Linked DNA regions of Struthio camelus. The protein of the gene in region 1 interacts with the protein of each later gene in a pairwise test. Links are inferred from orthologs where the notes say so. Each region holds a gene or a part of one and is shown on either strand. Other genes may lie near its edges.

What was found. The genes of interacting proteins can lie anywhere in the genome.
Region 2: the proteins of GPR37 (region 1) and ADRB2 interact in a protein complementation assay, tested with the Homo sapiens proteins (2 studies listed by BioGRID and IntAct, with this or other methods). The link is inferred for Struthio camelus from reciprocal best matches to the Homo sapiens genes GPR37 and ADRB2.

Annotation. Positions count from the first base shown.
Region 1 is NC_090942.1:24,529,922-24,537,932, reverse strand, and holds the start of GPR37 (prosaposin receptor GPR37), read right to left. Parts: upstream 3,017-8,011; 5' UTR 2,596-3,016; coding exon 1,837-2,595; intron 1-1,836.
Region 2 is NC_090954.1:7,879,307-7,887,342, forward strand, and holds the start of ADRB2 (beta-2 adrenergic receptor), read right to left. Parts: upstream 3,017-8,036; 5' UTR 2,990-3,016; coding exon 1,813-2,989; intron 1-1,812. UniProt on the Homo sapiens protein: Beta-adrenergic receptors mediate the catecholamine-induced activation of adenylate cyclase through the action of G proteins. The beta-2-adrenergic receptor binds epinephrine with an approximately 30-fold greater affinity than it does norepinephrine.

The sequences.
Region 1 (8,011 bases):
CATCAGAATTTAAAGGGGGGTTGACAGCAGCTGAATTAATGTTTTCAGGATTACAGTTTTGAATTTTGGCAACTATGTTTCACCCAAGCTACTTTTATGATTCAGTGATGAAAGTGTAAATTCCAGAGCATGTGCGTACTGGGCAATCCTAAAGGTATCCCCTTTTCCTGTAGGGCTAAAATAATTACAGACTCGTACTACTAAAATGAAATGTAGTTGTACATTAAGCCATCTGTTTATGTAACTCTGGAAGATTCTCTCTGTTTCTTATCCATTTAAATTAGTAATATCTTCATTAAAATATGAAGTTTTGGGCATTTTCCTTTAATTTATGAAGTGACAAACTCCTCAGCACTTCAAACTGCACAGCATAAGCAGCTAATTTGGAAAAAAAGATATGGCTGTGCAAATCATTTTCAGTTACTGACCTTTAATTAGAACCAACATTACAAAGGATTGTTGCTATTTTGTATGTAGATCCACCAAAAGAGATTCAGAAAACGTGAAATGTCACCATACAAAAGTCCTAAAATAATTTAGCCACACTAACCATTTTAATCGAAGTGGTTATACTTTAATTGGAACTGTAACTACACATTTTATTAGTTAACAAAGTAGCCACAGAACTGAATTTAGAAATTTTGAGAGCTCCTAGCTAAAGTTACTGCCAATGAGTATTCTCAACAAATATGTATCACAATTGATTACATATTTCTTTCTTCTTGATAAAGTGCTTTTCTTCTTGATAAATTGATAAGGTGCACTCTGTGTTTCTCAAATCATGAAAGTGACTTACTACTGGACTTAAATTCATGTAGGTGTAGCACAGCTCCACCCTTTGTCCACCAGTAATAGCATGTATCACTTATAAAAAAAGTAACCACAACTGTTCTAGTGGCTACACCTCACATGTCTTTCTAAACATTTCCTTAAAAAATTCAGCTGGTAGGTAATTATGTATTACTCTACATCAATGTGCTGTGGAAACTGCTCTTCTCTGCACTGAAAACAAGATTAATTGTTTCTTTCTTCCCTAATACATCATTCTTAGGACCAGTAAATCAACACCTCTCTAAGCTTTAGGTTAAAGAATAATGCTGAACATAAGGTTTTGGGCATATAGCAGAGCTTGCCAGAATCGTGGGCTACGACCCTACCAACAAGCCTCAGTATTCAGTTCCAGTAAATAAATAAAGCGAACGACCTGAACGCTGCCGGCAGGACTCCGGCCAGCTGGCTGAGCGCTTCTTTGACACAGCCTCTGAACAAGTGCCAAGAGGCTGCGATTTAAACGTCATCAGGATTTTTTCTTCCTTTTTTCTTTTTTTTCCCCAAGATAAATCAAATAAATAAATGTGAGATTTGAACGCCGAAGTGTAAATGAATAGCACATACATCACATCGATGATACAATCGCCTTTTTACAACTTATTCCCAGTTACCCCTTCCTTTCACTTTTCCTGAACCAGTTCACTTTAGGAAAAACACAAACTTAAAATCTACTTCTGAGAGGATTGTTTGCCTTTCAGGACTACAAGAAGCAATAAAAGTTTGGCAGAATTGGCATGAATGGAAGAGCTACATGCGATTAGTTTGAGGTTACGGAAATTCAGGTGCTGTCGGTCCTTGCACCGGCCGCAACATCCTCGCGTCTTTTGAGGGAGCGGGGGCGGGGAGGGGAAGCGCTCCCTTCCAAAAGCGCTTAGGAAAACCAGAGGAAGCAATACCGGCCTTGCGAGGGTCGGCGGGGCTGCCCCGAGCCGGCGCGGAGCAGGCGGGCACCGGGGCACGGCACGGCTCGAGTCCCGCTAGCTCCCCCCCCCCCCCCCAAATTACCTCGATGTACGGGACGATTTTGCAGGAGAAGTCTTCTAGGAGCCACTTCTTGGTGAGCTCCTGGAAGATGACCAGCGGCAGGCAGAAGAAGACGATGAGGAAGTCCCAGAAGGCCAGGTTGGCCAGCAGGGAGTTGGAGATGCTCCGCATGTAGTAGTTGTGGCAGACGATGCACATCACTGCCATGTTGCCCATGATGCCGATGCCGAAGATCACCACGGAGAGGCACATGACGGCGTAGGCGCCGTACGACTCCTCGGTCAGCGGGTAGAAGGGGTTGCGGAGGCGGCCGCGGCGCCCCGTGCCGTTGCCGCGGGCCCCGGCGCTGCCCTCGGCGCCGCCGCGGGCCGAGCCGTTCAGGGGGAGCCAGCGCGGGCCGCCCGCCGCCGCCGCCGCCGCCGCCGCCGCCGCGCCCCTCCCCGCCGCCGCGCCGGCTCCACGCGCGCTCCGCGCGCGGCGCCGCCCGGCCGCCGCCGCCCCGCGCGGAGCGCAGGTGCCGCCCGGCCCCGCGGCTGCCCGCTGCCCCTCGCCGCCGTCCCGCCGCGGGGCAGCGCCGGGAAGGGCCCCGCGCCCGGGGAGAGCCGCGGCCGCCGCCCGCCGCGGCGCCGGGGCGAGGAGGGTCGCGGTCGCGGTCGGGGCCGGCGGCGAGCGCTCGGTGCGCGACTGCAGCCCGCCGGCCGCCCCGGGGGCCAGGGCGCCGGCAGCCCAAGCCCCCAGCAGCTGGCAGAGCAGGGCGAGGGCAGCGCCGCGGGGCCGCATGGCTGTGAGGCGGCGGGGCTCCCCGGACCCCTTTAGAGGCAGCGGCCGCCCCGCTCGGCGGGGCTCGGGGTAGGTGCCATGTCCGCCCGGCAGAGCGGGCCGCCCGGCCCGCCCGGGGTGCCGGTGCCTCTCGCTCGGGAGCGCGGCTCCTGCTGCCGCCGGGGGATGCGCCGCGGGGGGCGGCCGGCACTCGGGGCGCGGCGAGAGGAGGAGGAGGAGGAGGGAGGCTCTTCTCGCAGCCTCCCGGGGCAAACCCGGGAAAGTTGTGTCACCGTCTCCGCCGCTCCGAGTTAATGTAGCAAGTGCCGCGCCGGGAGGACCCCCCTCCGGCGCTCCGCCCTTTCCCGGGGATCGTTGCCTTCTTGCTAACAGTTGCACCGGGTCTTGTGCTGCCCATTTACATCCTCCCGCCGCTGCCTGTAGTTGGTGGCTTTATTGGTAAGGAAAGGTCCCTTGTGGAAAACGCCTCCCCTCTCCGGGTAACTGCAAGCACTAATTCCTCTTCTCCGGCAACCTCGGAGAAAACCGGTTGCTACACGCGGCTTAGGGTGTTTAAGAGCTTTGCAAAACTCTCGCCGGGTTTAATAACGGCGCTGCGTAAGCGCCTGCACTGAGGCGGAGGTGGGGGCGCACGACCGGCGCCGCAAAGTTGCTGGTCGCGGTTCTGGCGATGCCGGCGAGAGCGGCCGGGGCTCCCCGCCCCGGTAACGTGCTGCTCGGCTGCCTCCGCCTCTGCGAGCCAGGCGGCCGGCAGCGAGAGCCAGAAGCAACGGCAAAAGCCGCCCGGCAGGCAGAGCAGCGGGAGAGCGGCGGCTGCGCTGCTCGCCCGGCAGGCACGGCTGCCCGCCGGCTCTGGCCGCGCTGCGCCCCGCTCGGCTCGGCTCGGCTCGGCTCCGCCGCGGCTCCCGGGCGCGCAGGGGCGGCGGGCAGCGAGCGCGGCGGCCCGCAGTGCGCACGCGCCGCCCGGCGGCGCCGCGGGGCCAGCGCTGCCCTCCCCGCCGGGCGGCGGCGGCGGCGGCGCGGGGTCCGCCCGCCCGCCCTCCCGGTCCGCTGCCCGCCCGCCCGCCCGGCGGCGGCGGCGGCGGCGGCGGCGGCGGCGGCGAGGCAACGGCCTGGCAGCCCCCCGGCTCCCCTGGCTGGAGGAGCAGAGGGACCGATTCCTCTGTCCTGTCACCGTCGAGGGGCAGCGGGTGAAGGGAGGCAAATCCTCAGGTGGAAGGAGAAACGGCACGGTGCCGCCGAAGGAATGGCGTCCACGACTTCACCCCTGCGGCTCACGAGTGCCCGGAGCACCTCCCGGTATTTTCAGTGCTTGAGGAGGCAGGCTTACCTTTCTTTCCGGTTTTGAACGTTTTTGTATGCTTTTATTTCTGGTCTTTGTACAGTCAGAAGGCTTTTCCAGCTTGCTCCTCTTGTTTCTCATATTTTTCATTCCAGTGACTTCTTAGTTGACCAAAACTGGATGGAGTAAATATTTCACTGTAAGTAGCCTTAAATTGTGGGGCACTCCATCATTCTCATTTCCATTTTAAGAGGTTTTTTTTTTGTAGCTTATTTCCAACACGTTTCTAACAGTTTTAACTGTATCCCATAAAGCTGTTTGAGAGCCATTCATTTTTTTTTTCCTCTCTCAAACTCTCTTAACCCATTTGGTTTAAAGACCAGAACGTTAGTCAAGGTGATGAGAGCTCCTTGTTTCACGGACTGGATTCAGGACCATGGATCTGATCTAGTCCTGTGAACTTCTTCCTTGAGGCCAATCTTTAAAGTCTTGACAGTTGTGCATGTAGCCAGTACCGGCAGGTTAGGGCCCTGTCTTTTCTGTATTAATAGTCAACAGAGAAAACCATGTAAGTCTACAGCAGTAGAACATACATCACACACACACATAGGGCCACATCTATCAGATAGAGTAAAAGACACAAGACTACTACCATTGATTTCAATGGGGTTGACTCAAGCTGCAGTGACAAAAGGACCCTTCCATATGAATTGTTAATTATTATTTATTTATACAAGCACAGCTTCACAAACTCACCTAACTGCCAGGAAGTTAGGCCTTTACATAAAGATACTCACTGTGTTTTATTATCAATGGAGAGAGCAAAGTGCCTTCTGAAGACCATTAATTCCATATTAATGTCCAAGGTATGTGGTATAAATTGCTCTCTGGAGATGCTTCTCTCTCACTGTTGTACCCTAGAAGGAGCCTAGAAAACTATTTTGGATAAAAAGTCTGACTTTTTAATGGCTAAAATTAGTGAGTCAAGTCTCATCCAAATCAGATGTAGCGCCATGCCGCTGGGCAGGTGCTATAGTTATGCAAAAAGACACTGGACAAACTGAAAAGTTCTTCCTTTTCCTGAAACCATTCTCTCATACGTTCATGTGAGGTGTGACTGTGGGAAGTCTGAGATGTTTCTAAGCTTAGGAAAACAAGTGTAAAAATTAGGCACTGCTACGTCCCTTAATATAAATTAGGCCATTTTATTCTTATTCATCCTTAGCAATATAAGTATCATTTGGTGGAGTTAAATGGTTAAGTTTTGTCTAATAAAGATATTTATGAACAGGAAAAAATGACCAGCAGGAAAATAAAATAATGCTTAGTATATTTTACCCTTTTTTTCTTATATTTTTTCTCCCATTTGCTTGTTCTGAGCTCAGCTGGTGCATAAAAGGAGTTAATGATGATAATGAGCTTACATTTACTGTGCCTTTCTTCCTGAAGAGTCCCAAAGGGCATTGCAAACAGATATGATAAATTCACTGCTTGCTCTTTAAAGGATACTGCGGAATATTTCTTCTGGCTTTTATATGGAAGGAGCAGACGGGAGTTAGCAAAGGTACTGCCCTTCTGCATACTTCTGGAAGAAATATGGATCGCAAAGAGTAAGGTTAAGCAGTATTTGGTTTACGTCACAGATCCTTTACTGGTGAGATAAGAACCGAGCAGTGCATCATTTTTTCAGTGTCAGCATTCCATCTGGTTTGTAATACAGAAATTTGTTTTCTGAACACAAAAAAGGGCTCCTAAGTTATTGTCCTCTGCCTACAAATTTGTCACATTTATCTTACTTCATTAAGTGTTTGGTTTGTTACAAAGAGCAGTACATGCAAATACTTAGATTTTCTAGGCTGTTCCCATAAAATCACCCTGCCTAGAATGGAGGAGCTTGTGGTATCTATATAGCTGTGATCAAAGTGCTCTTCTGGGCTTTTGTCTTGCTAAAACCTTGTACATGCAAGAGGTGATATTCCTTAGGGGTTTCTCATCTCATTGAGACATAGATTTGTGCAGGGTTAGGATTGACGTGCTGCTTCTGCACCTCACCGTAATTACTTAGTTCTGTCAATCTGCAAAGACCCTCTTTAGCTGGCTTTAAAAACAATTAATTTACTGTTATTATATTCCCCTGTTTACAATGTCAGTGTTGCTGCCTTGTAAGATGCTAGAAGTTAGTGTCTGAAGATGTGGGTTTCCCAGTTTCTTTGGTTTCAACTACTCCATTAAAAAATTGTACAGTCCATGTAATTTCTGGGGGATTGTTAGTTTTTTTACTTATGTCCAGTGTCTTTCATATCAGTGAGTTGTTTCTTATGATAAGATCTGCCTTTAGGATGACTTTCCTACTCTGTCACATTCTAATTCTTTTAGTTCAGTCAGGCTTTCACAACTTTGTAGTGTGCTCCTCTTTTGAAGGAGTTCTACATATTTTGACAATCCTTCTACCAAATCATGCATCAGCCTAGAAATAGTCTCACAAACCACAACCAGACGATTATATTTATAACACATTAAAAAAAATTCTCTGCTAGATGATGGAACTGAAATTTGGAGATGTTTTTGCAGCCAAGATCTATAATAGGAAAGATAATAAATGTTTCTGTATGAAAAAAATATAAAATTATGGAATTTGAAAGGTTTTCAAATACATTCATTCTTTTTTCTGTTCTTTCACATTTCAGCGATGGTAAAGAAATCAAAAGTTTTCAATGCTTACAGCATGTTTTTTTTTTTTTTTGACATCTCCCATACTTATTTGCGTAAGTGATAATCTTAGCCTGAACATGTTAGGCTTTTGCAGCGAGAAGGGATTATTACTGTCTTGCTTAGCTCTCCTCAGGGTTCAGTTGGTCAATGAAGAAGAAAAAGAGTAAATTTCCTAGAATAATTTTTGTTCTTTAGTTTTAAGCTCTGGCATGTTCAGTCCCCATGCACTGCACTGTCCTTCCTCATTTAGAACAAAAGAACAACTTTTTTCCCTGCTTTTGATAAACTGATCAGTTGACACTGTCTCCTTATATCTCACTGGGTTTTGATGTATATTACTGTGTAAGAGAAATCTTGAGTTCGGAGATAACTTATTTCCTATGATGCAGTATCACTGGGATTTTTATTTCCAAGAGATCAAAATCCCCTAAACCATCGAAGGATTTTTATTGTTGATGTCAGTTGCTTATATGGCTGGACCAGGCTCAGTGATAATAAACAAATGTTGAAAAGGTTTTAAGTTGAAGTTCGAAGAGGAATTCAAAGTTTAATGGTAATATTGGGAATTTCTTGTAATTACTGTTGTGTTTCTGCATTTATTGACGTCCATTAAGAAAGCTTACAATGGCTCCTGAGTATATGTTGCTATTCCTATCTGGCTTCACATTTTTCTTTTTAAACTTTCTCTTCTCCTAAAGTCTGAATTCTGTTCTAAAGGGTCAGCATCAGTTGCCCATATCACAGAGTCCAAGTAGGTTTGTTTTTAAAGTTGTCCTTGTTTTGAAACATGATTACCAACAATCCTTCTGTTTTTATTAGTAATAAAAAGGCAAGCGATCCACATTACGTGGAAAACTAAAATGTGACTGATTACCACTTTGCTGTCCTATATTTTATCCAAAAGGCAGAAGAATATGTAGAATACCTAACAACCTCAATAGTTGGAGAGGGAAGAAGATAAAGTCAATACTTTTTCTAGAGGTGCATTACCTGGGGAGTAAGTTACATTTGTATAAAGTGGAGTTGGGGCAAAAGAGTATCTATTATTAGCAAATATTCTTAAGAGACCATAGATTAAGACAGTGAGAGTAAAACCACGTCAATTATGTCCATCCACACCAAGTCAACTTACTTTAGGCTCTCATGTTTAGCATCATCCATTTTACTAGTAATCATGTTCATGAATTTCTGTGCACAAACAGAAAAGCGCCCCCAATAATCTACAATAATCCCCTAACAATCTACTAGAGGTGAGATGGGAAGGTATTTTTCTCCTTTGCCTGGCTATAAAATTCACATCAGGAAAAATTAATAAAATCTTTCCTTTTTAAAAAACTTTATCCATGTTTTTCAACCTGCAGTCAATAAGAAATATAGAATTGCAATACAAGTGTTGTGTAACCTTTGCAGACTTTCTTATTG
Region 2 (8,036 bases), on another chromosome or scaffold:
ACCTGCAGCAGTGGGGACCAGCGTCCGAGGACATGGCTCAGAGGGGGCTTGGCTCGGCCGGGGTCTTGGCACAGGGACGCCTGCAACGCCAGCCAGTCGCCCCAGTGCCTTCACATTCCCCCCTCCGCACTCCTGCTCTGCCAGGGACCCACTGACCGCCACGCACCAGGGACCCATCACAGCGCGTCGCCAGTGTCAGAAAAGCGACGGCAGCGCAGGGCAGGTGCTTGAATTCTCTGGGGAGGAGGCGAGAGCCCATGAAGGTGATGCCAAGCATCCTTCCACGGGGCACCACAGCCCCACGGCCAGGTGACAGCTCCTGCGAGCCCATTTCTCCCCTGCATCTCCCCGTTTCTGAAAAGACACAGCGCTTCTACATCCTCCCAGCCCTTGCGTTCACCCTTTCAAACAGCAGCTGAGGGGGAAGGCAACGGGGACACTTTTATTTTCCCAGCCCGACTGCCGGTTTCCTCCAACCAGGGACTTTCTGAGAATAACTGGGCAGCAGTGCAGGCGCCCTTTGCCGTCCCCGCTCGTCCAGCCCGCACCTGCCTGCCCGTGTCTGCGGATTAGCTTCCCCTCTGACAGCCCGGGGAACTCGCAGCCAAGTTTTGTAACCCGGGAACAAAATGCAAAGCCTGCCGCAAGGAGGGGGAAAAAAAAGCCCTTCACAAACAAACAAACCGGGGCTAGAGCTGTGCCCCTCCGAGTGTCAGTCCTCTTTGAAACAAAATAAAAAATCCCCTCCCCTCCCGCCTCCTCGGGTTCCCTGTCACTTGGGACCTGAAGTTAAAGGAATTCAACAGTTTAAAGGTTGGAGGAAGCTTTGGCCAGAGTTTGAACAAAAGGATGGTCCGTGATTTTAGCAGCATTTCACCCAACTTTCCAGTACCATGTTCCTGAGTCCCACCGTCACAGTCTCACATTCTGGGCAAATAGTCCATTTATTTCTATTCTTATTTCAGATGAACGTCCTACAGCACTTGGCAAAAAGCATTCGTTGTTTCTGGGCGTTGTTTAAACTGTCCCAGTGAGAGCAATAGCTGCAGATCTGACATGGCCTTTCCGAGCCGTGCTCAGACCATGCAGCCCTGGTCCTAGCATCCCTTTTAGGAGCTTGTTCATAGGGTGGCATCTCTGCACAGTTTCCTGGGCTGGACAACAGAGGCTACTGCCCAAGGCTGCATAACTGGCCGAGGAGGGGTCCTACGGGCCACCAGTCTGCTGGGAGGCTTGGTTGTGACAAAGGAACTGGGAAGACTTTAAGGTAGGCAACATCACCTGGGGTTTGCCATGAAGTGCAATCACTGGGGTGGGCAGAGGGCACCCGCAGCCGGCAGGAGCCTCCCCACAGGCAGGGGCTCCTGTCCGCCCTGCAGAGGGTTTCCTGCACCAGCAGCCTGGTTATTAACACTAAGTCCATGAGGTAGTTCAACAGCCACCACAGTCAAGAAGTTCCTCCTGGGTTGAGCTTTCTGCACAGCCTTAAAACCTCCCCACTCAACGAATGAAGATTGCGCCTCTACACAAGTATGTGCTACAGTACTTCTGACACTCTGCAAACAACTAGCCCGCCCGACCATTCCCAGAGCAACCTTCCACCTGTTCGCACAAGGTTTGCTGAGTTTTAGATTTCTTGCAGCCACCAGATTTTAGATACATTTTAAAAGTGGATCATTATTTTTCTTGGGGGGGGGGTTGTTTTTCCTTAGAGACAGAGAGGGAGAGAGAGAGAGAAAGGCTCATTTTTGTAACCAAGGTGTGCCACACCAGAGCCCATCACGTCTCAAAGCTACCCACTAGGCACAGTACCTTTGCAGTGCAAAAAGTCCTCTGGGTTAGGGAAGGAGCCTTCTTCACAGAGCAACTCACAGGTTTTATCCGATGCCAGGGGATAGCTGTTCTCCTCCTCATTGTAGTCACTCCTGCCGTTGCTGTTGGAGTACCCATTGGCATACATCTTCAGGGCAGACCTGCGGAGGCACAGGAGCTCCTGGAAGGCATACCTGAAGTCCGGGCTCCGGCAGTAGATCAAAGGGTTGAAGGCAGAATTGACATAGCCCAGCCAGTTCAAGAGAATGTACACGTACTTGGGTATGATGTCGTCCTGGATGACGTGCACAATGTTGACGATAAAGAAGGGCAGCCAACACAGTGTGAAGGTGCCCATGATGATGCCCAGGGTCTTGAGGGCCTTGTGCTCCTTCAAGTAGAACTTGGAGGAACGGCGGTGCCCAGTTCGCCCGTTCTGCTCCTGCTCCTTGTTCTGGATGTGAAACCTCCCCTCGCTCTTGTCTATCTTCTGCAGCTGCTTCTTGGCCACCAGGAAGACCCTGGCATACACGAAGACCATGACCACGAGTGGCAGGTAGAAAGAGATGATGGAGGAGGCAATGGCGTAAGCCTGGTTGGTGAAGAAGTCGCAGCATGTGTCCTCCTTGTAGCACAGAATGGCTTCCTCACGCTCTGCCCGGTACCAATGCATCTGGATGGGCAAGAAGGAGGTGAGGGCAGAGACTACCCACACCACCAGGATGACCACGCGTGCCTTGCTCTTGGTCAGCAGGCTCTGGTACTTGAAGGGAGAGGTGATGGCGAAGTACCGGTCCACGGCGATGACACAGAGGGTCTCGATGCTGGCTGTGACACAGAGCACATCCAGAGAAGTCCAGAACTCACACCAGAAGTTCCCGAAATTCCACATCTCCATGATGATGTGGCTGGCCCCGAAGGGCACCACGGCCAGACCCATCACCAGGTCGGCGCAGGCCAGCGAGGTGATGAAGTAGTTAGTGACGGTCTGCAGGCGCTGGAACCGGGCGATGGCGGTGATCACCAGCACGTTGCCGAAGACGATGGCCAGCACGATCACGGACATGAGGATCCCCATGCCCACCATCCACACGTCCCGCGACAGCGTGGGGTCGGCGGCGGCGCTCTGGTTGGCGCTGGCGTTGCCGCCGGGCAGCGCGGCGCCCACCGCCCCCATGGCCCCCCGCGCCGCCGCCCGCGGGGCTCGGCGAGGCGCCCGCGCCTAGGGCTGCGTCGCGGCGGCGCTGCGCCGGGCGCCGCGCATACGGCGCGGCAGGTGCGGGCGGGCTGGACGCGGGCAGGGGCACCGGGCTGCGCGGCTGGGCGCGCTCCGCTCCGCTCCGCTCCGCTCCGCTCTCGCCCGTCCCGTCCCGTCCCGCGGCGGCGCCGCGCCCGGCCCCGACTGCCCCCAGCCCGTTAGGCGCCGCGGAGCTTATAGCAACACCCCGCCGTGACATCAGGACAGCGACAGCCAATGGCGGCGGCCGCCGCGCCTCTTCCCCCCCCCCCCGGCGGTGTCCCCGCGCCCCACGCGCGTCCCCCCTCGGCGGTGTCCCCGCGCCCCACGCACGCTCCCCGCCCCGCAGTGCCCCCGTGCCCCACGCGCGTCCCCGCCCCGCCGTGGCTCGGCGCCCCACGCGCATCTGCACCCCGTGGTGGCCCCGCGACTGAGTGCCATGCCCCAAGGTGTCCCTGCACTCCCACGCACACTCCCCGCCCTGCAGTGGCCCCACGCCCCATGCACATCCCCTACCCGCGGTGTCCCCACAACCAAGCGCTCCCTGCCCCAAAGTGTCCCCGTGCCCCACGCACATTCCTGCCTCATGGTGTCCCCATGACCGAGGGCTCCCCAGCCTGTGGTGTCCCCCCGCCACGCATGCGCCCCCATTCCATGGTGCCCGCACAACTCATGCACTCCCCGCTTTACAGGGTTTTCACACCCCCCTCCCCATGTACACTACCACCCTAAGCATGCCCCTCTGCCCCACGCATCACCCCATCCCATGGTGTCACCTGCCCCACACATGTCCCCCCACTCCATGCATGCTCCCTGGCCTCCAGTGTCCATATGCCCCATGCATGCTCCCCGCCCTACGTTGTTCTCACGCTCCACACGTGCCCCTGACCTGCGGTGTCCCCACACTCCCACACCCCACGCACATCTCTGCCCCACATCATGGTGTCCACGTGCCCCACACATGCTCCCTGCCCTGCGCTGTCCCTGCACCCCATGCACAATCCTGCTCTGCAGTGTCCCTGTGATCCACACGTGCTCCTTGCCCTATGGTGTCCCTGAACCCCTTCCCACATGTGTCCTCAACCCACCACGTTCCATGTGCCCCCATCCCCCACTCACTCCCCACCACAGTATATCTGCTGCTGCTCTCAGAGAGACTTTGTGTCTGGTTGGGTGCTGGGATTTGGACTTTCCTGAGAGCTGGGTGACCCTGGGGAGCGCCTGTCCTCACAGGCAACACTTTGAGACAGGGTGTCACCCACGGTCTCCATCCCTCCCAGCCCCCAGCCCAGCACCATTCCTGCGGGGAGCTGGCCACTCCACAGCCCATGGCTGGGGCAGGCACCTGGAAGCTGGCTGGTGGGACTGTGTACTGGGTGCTCGAGGTGCAGCCCAGCCCCTAAAATTGTGGTGGTGGTTGAGCACACGGAGCGCATCCCCTGACAGGGCCAAGCATGCTGGTCGGGGGCTGGAAGGCCACACAACTGCTGCACACTGCAGTCTGCCACACTACCGCCAGACATGCTGGAGACTATCAGTCACAAGTATTTCCCTCCAAAGCAAACAAATTTGCTAAATAAGGACTAAGGAATCCTGCAAAGTCCCTTTTAACCTAAAGGGAGATAACTCCACCACTTGAGTTTCATTTCTGCCTGTGCAGAAACCATCTGGCCTCGTGCTGCCCCCTTGCAGACATACGTAATGCTTCCTGCAGTGCCCAGGGGTCTGCTGGAGATGATAGTGGAGCCTGAAGGCTGTGATTTGCACAGTAATTAAAATTATCCCATGTCAGAGAAAGGGAGAATACAAAGAGTTGCTTTTGCCCAAATTTACCCACGTGCCTTCTGGCCACCAGCTGTACCAAAAGTAACTGCATCTCAGTGCCTCCTTAGGTACCCCGCATTGTCTTTGTGCCTTCCAGAAGCAGATGTTTACGAGTCACCCCAGGCTTGTGCACATAGGACTGTCCCCCACTGCCACTTCAGGATCCAGAAATGCAAACATTGCCTTTATTAATAACAGGCTTGATGGTGGAGGACTCCTGCCTAACCTTCTTTAGCTATTAAAGGGTGAATAATTTTGGATCTCATTTGAAACACATCAACCATCAGAATTTGACAGGGCTTCAGAATTCTGCCTCATTTTTCTTTCTCACTACAAGGAAATGCAAAAGTGCTAAGTGCAAGGCACGGCTTGCAGAGGGGAGCTGCCTGCAGTTGCTGTTTCTCTTGCCCGTGCCAGCACATGGCAGAAGAGCCAGACACCTTGTCTGGTCTGGCCCTGCAAACCACTAGGTGTCCCATGTCATGCATGGACTGCGTGAGCTAAGCCTAGGGCTATTTATAGAGAAGAGCAGGTTGTACACAGAGGAAGTTTTGTAGTTTAAAACAGAGGGGAAAATGAGGTGACAGCACCAGGAAATAAGATGAAAGGCAGTTTCAGTGGTATGAGATTTCTCTCTAGGCAAGGATCTTTCTAAGTATGAGCTTCCAGTACTGCTTCCATATTCCACTTTGGCATCTGCAAGCTTTGGAGTTTTTAACAAAAAGACACATGAAAAAGAGATCTGCAGGATACCTCTTTCTACTGCAAACATGCCAAGCCTTTGGAAACCAGGGGGATTTGGGTGAGTGGAAGACTAGGAAACATTAATGACCTTAAGAAACAATAATGCCCTTAGCTAAATGAGGAGTTTCAACTGACCACTGTTGAGCTAAACAGGGCTATACTTTATATACATCTGAATCAATAGGTACAACTGCAACCCCCTGACATAAGTCATTTGCTCTCCATTGGTCTTCACTAACTTTATGCCAGCTAAGGATCTGATCCCTACATAAATATAAGCTCCTTTAGCACTTGCTTGGTGCAGTATCTCTGGCTCCTGTGCACATAGGTACCCCCACACCCCCTCTGCCCAGTGGCCAGAAGCATTCACCTTGCAGTAGAAATATTGCAAGTAACTGCTGGGGAAGTGGAGCTACAAATCAGATGCAATATTGGGAGAGCAGAGCAGAATGGGGAAGGAAAAGCACTTGTGTTAACTATACATTATATTCAACCCACTTTTCCATCTTCTTTCTTAAGAGCTGATCAGAAAACTCCAGAAGGTGATCATGATAAGTTTCTGCTAATAACCTGGTGAGTGTGCTGTTTTCTGTGGATTATGCTAAAATCTGGGAATATTCAAACAGTAAACCAAAGAGTTTTAAAAAGATTTGGCTTCCTAACAGACAAGCAAATATTCATCCTTGCACGAAGCACTGTTTTGAAAGGAGGAGAAGCAGGTTTGAGAATTCAGTAGGAAACACCAACTCTGGGACAGTCAAAGCTGATCTCTCTGCTTTGGCACAAGCGGTTCAACAAGGGCATCTGGTACATGGAGAAACCCATGCTCCCTGGTAGCATTCCTATATCCTTCTCCAGAACCTGCTTCCAGACTCTGGAAATCTCTGTGGCCCAGGGTGCAGAAATCAGCAAGCCCAGCTGCTATCTAAATATTGTGCCTTTGTTGTGCTTTATTCAAAGAGTCTTGAGCCTCTGTAGTGGTTAAGGGTGTGGTGAAGGAAGTAGAGAAAGGCTGATTTTTCTTCCTAGGTTCTGCAGCTCTTTACTTGCTTGACTAATCTTTGCTCACTTACATGAGGTGTGTCAGGGTAGACCATTGGCACAAGCTGATTTCTGCGCTTGGCTTTGCATGGTCCACATCAAATGGGACTAGTGAACACAGGTTCAAAATAAAGGCAGGATTTGGCCCCACATAAAAATAAATTTCATCACCCACAACTCAACTGTATTGCTTTTGAGATTTTCATGCCCATATCTGTGCTTTGGAGTGGTTATTAGCTTTGAAGTATGTTTGAGGTTTCTTATTTAAACAAACGTAATACCAAATCTCCAAAGAAAGGTTAGGAAAAGAGTTAAGTTTGCATTTCCTATATTGGTTGCCTGAAGTGCAAGGACTCTGCTTACTCCAGAATGCCTCCTTCTGGTCCTCTGGCTTGGAGGGTGTCAAAACAAGGCACATCTCATTTGTCTCATGCAGCACATTGCTGCCACTGACCCCGCTGCTTTGTCATCACGCTAATCTTTTCTCCTTTCATAATTGGATGTGTGCTCCCTCCTTGCTGGGTGACATTTGAAGAATGGCCTGTGGGATCAATGAGAAAGGCAGGATTGATAGGAAGAGGTAATCACTTTTATTAGCCCTACTGACATAATTGGAAAAAACAGCCAGGCTTTTGGGCATGCAAAACCTTCTTCAGGACTGCGGCCAGCTGGGACACTGGCCTCAGCCCTGCTTCCCCAAATGCTTATCACAACCCGGAAGGCATGAGGCACCCGGATATTAAGCAGCTGGCCAGATGCAAGGGCTTGGAAATGGTAGCCCTCAACAGTGTTTGTCTAGAGAGGAATTTGTAAAATTCTCTTCTTGCAAATAACTGATAATATTGTTTGTATGGTATGTCACTGCCGACAGGGCTGTAAATCAGCAAAAGCGGTATGCAAATAACATTGAAGCATTCCTCTTCTTGTGGCTGCTGATTAATACCAGACCCCGCTATAGATGACCGACTTGGCATGCTCCTGATCCAACAGCAAGGGGCAGAGTTAAGACAGTTTGATAGTGCCTGCTCTGAGGGCCCTCATCCTGCATTTCCTGGTTTTCAAATGCTTTTGTTTGAGCGTGCCTTGCTTTGGCCATAAACACGCACTTAGTCAGTGCTGTGTGGAGCTGTCGAGTGTGTCCCCACAGCAACACCCGTGGCAGAGCTGTTTGTGGTGAGCATCTCAATAATGGAAAGCAGCCAGGGGAAACTTTCTGTGGGTCACCTCTGCCTTCACACCCTCTCCTATGCGTTTGTGGCTTTCAGTCCCTCTCACTTCAAACAAAACAGCTTGACAGGAGCTAGAGAGCAGGTTTGCTGTGATAACAAAACAGTGCGGCCTTGTGAGTCTTTATTCTTTTTCCTCTCCTGCTTTTTAA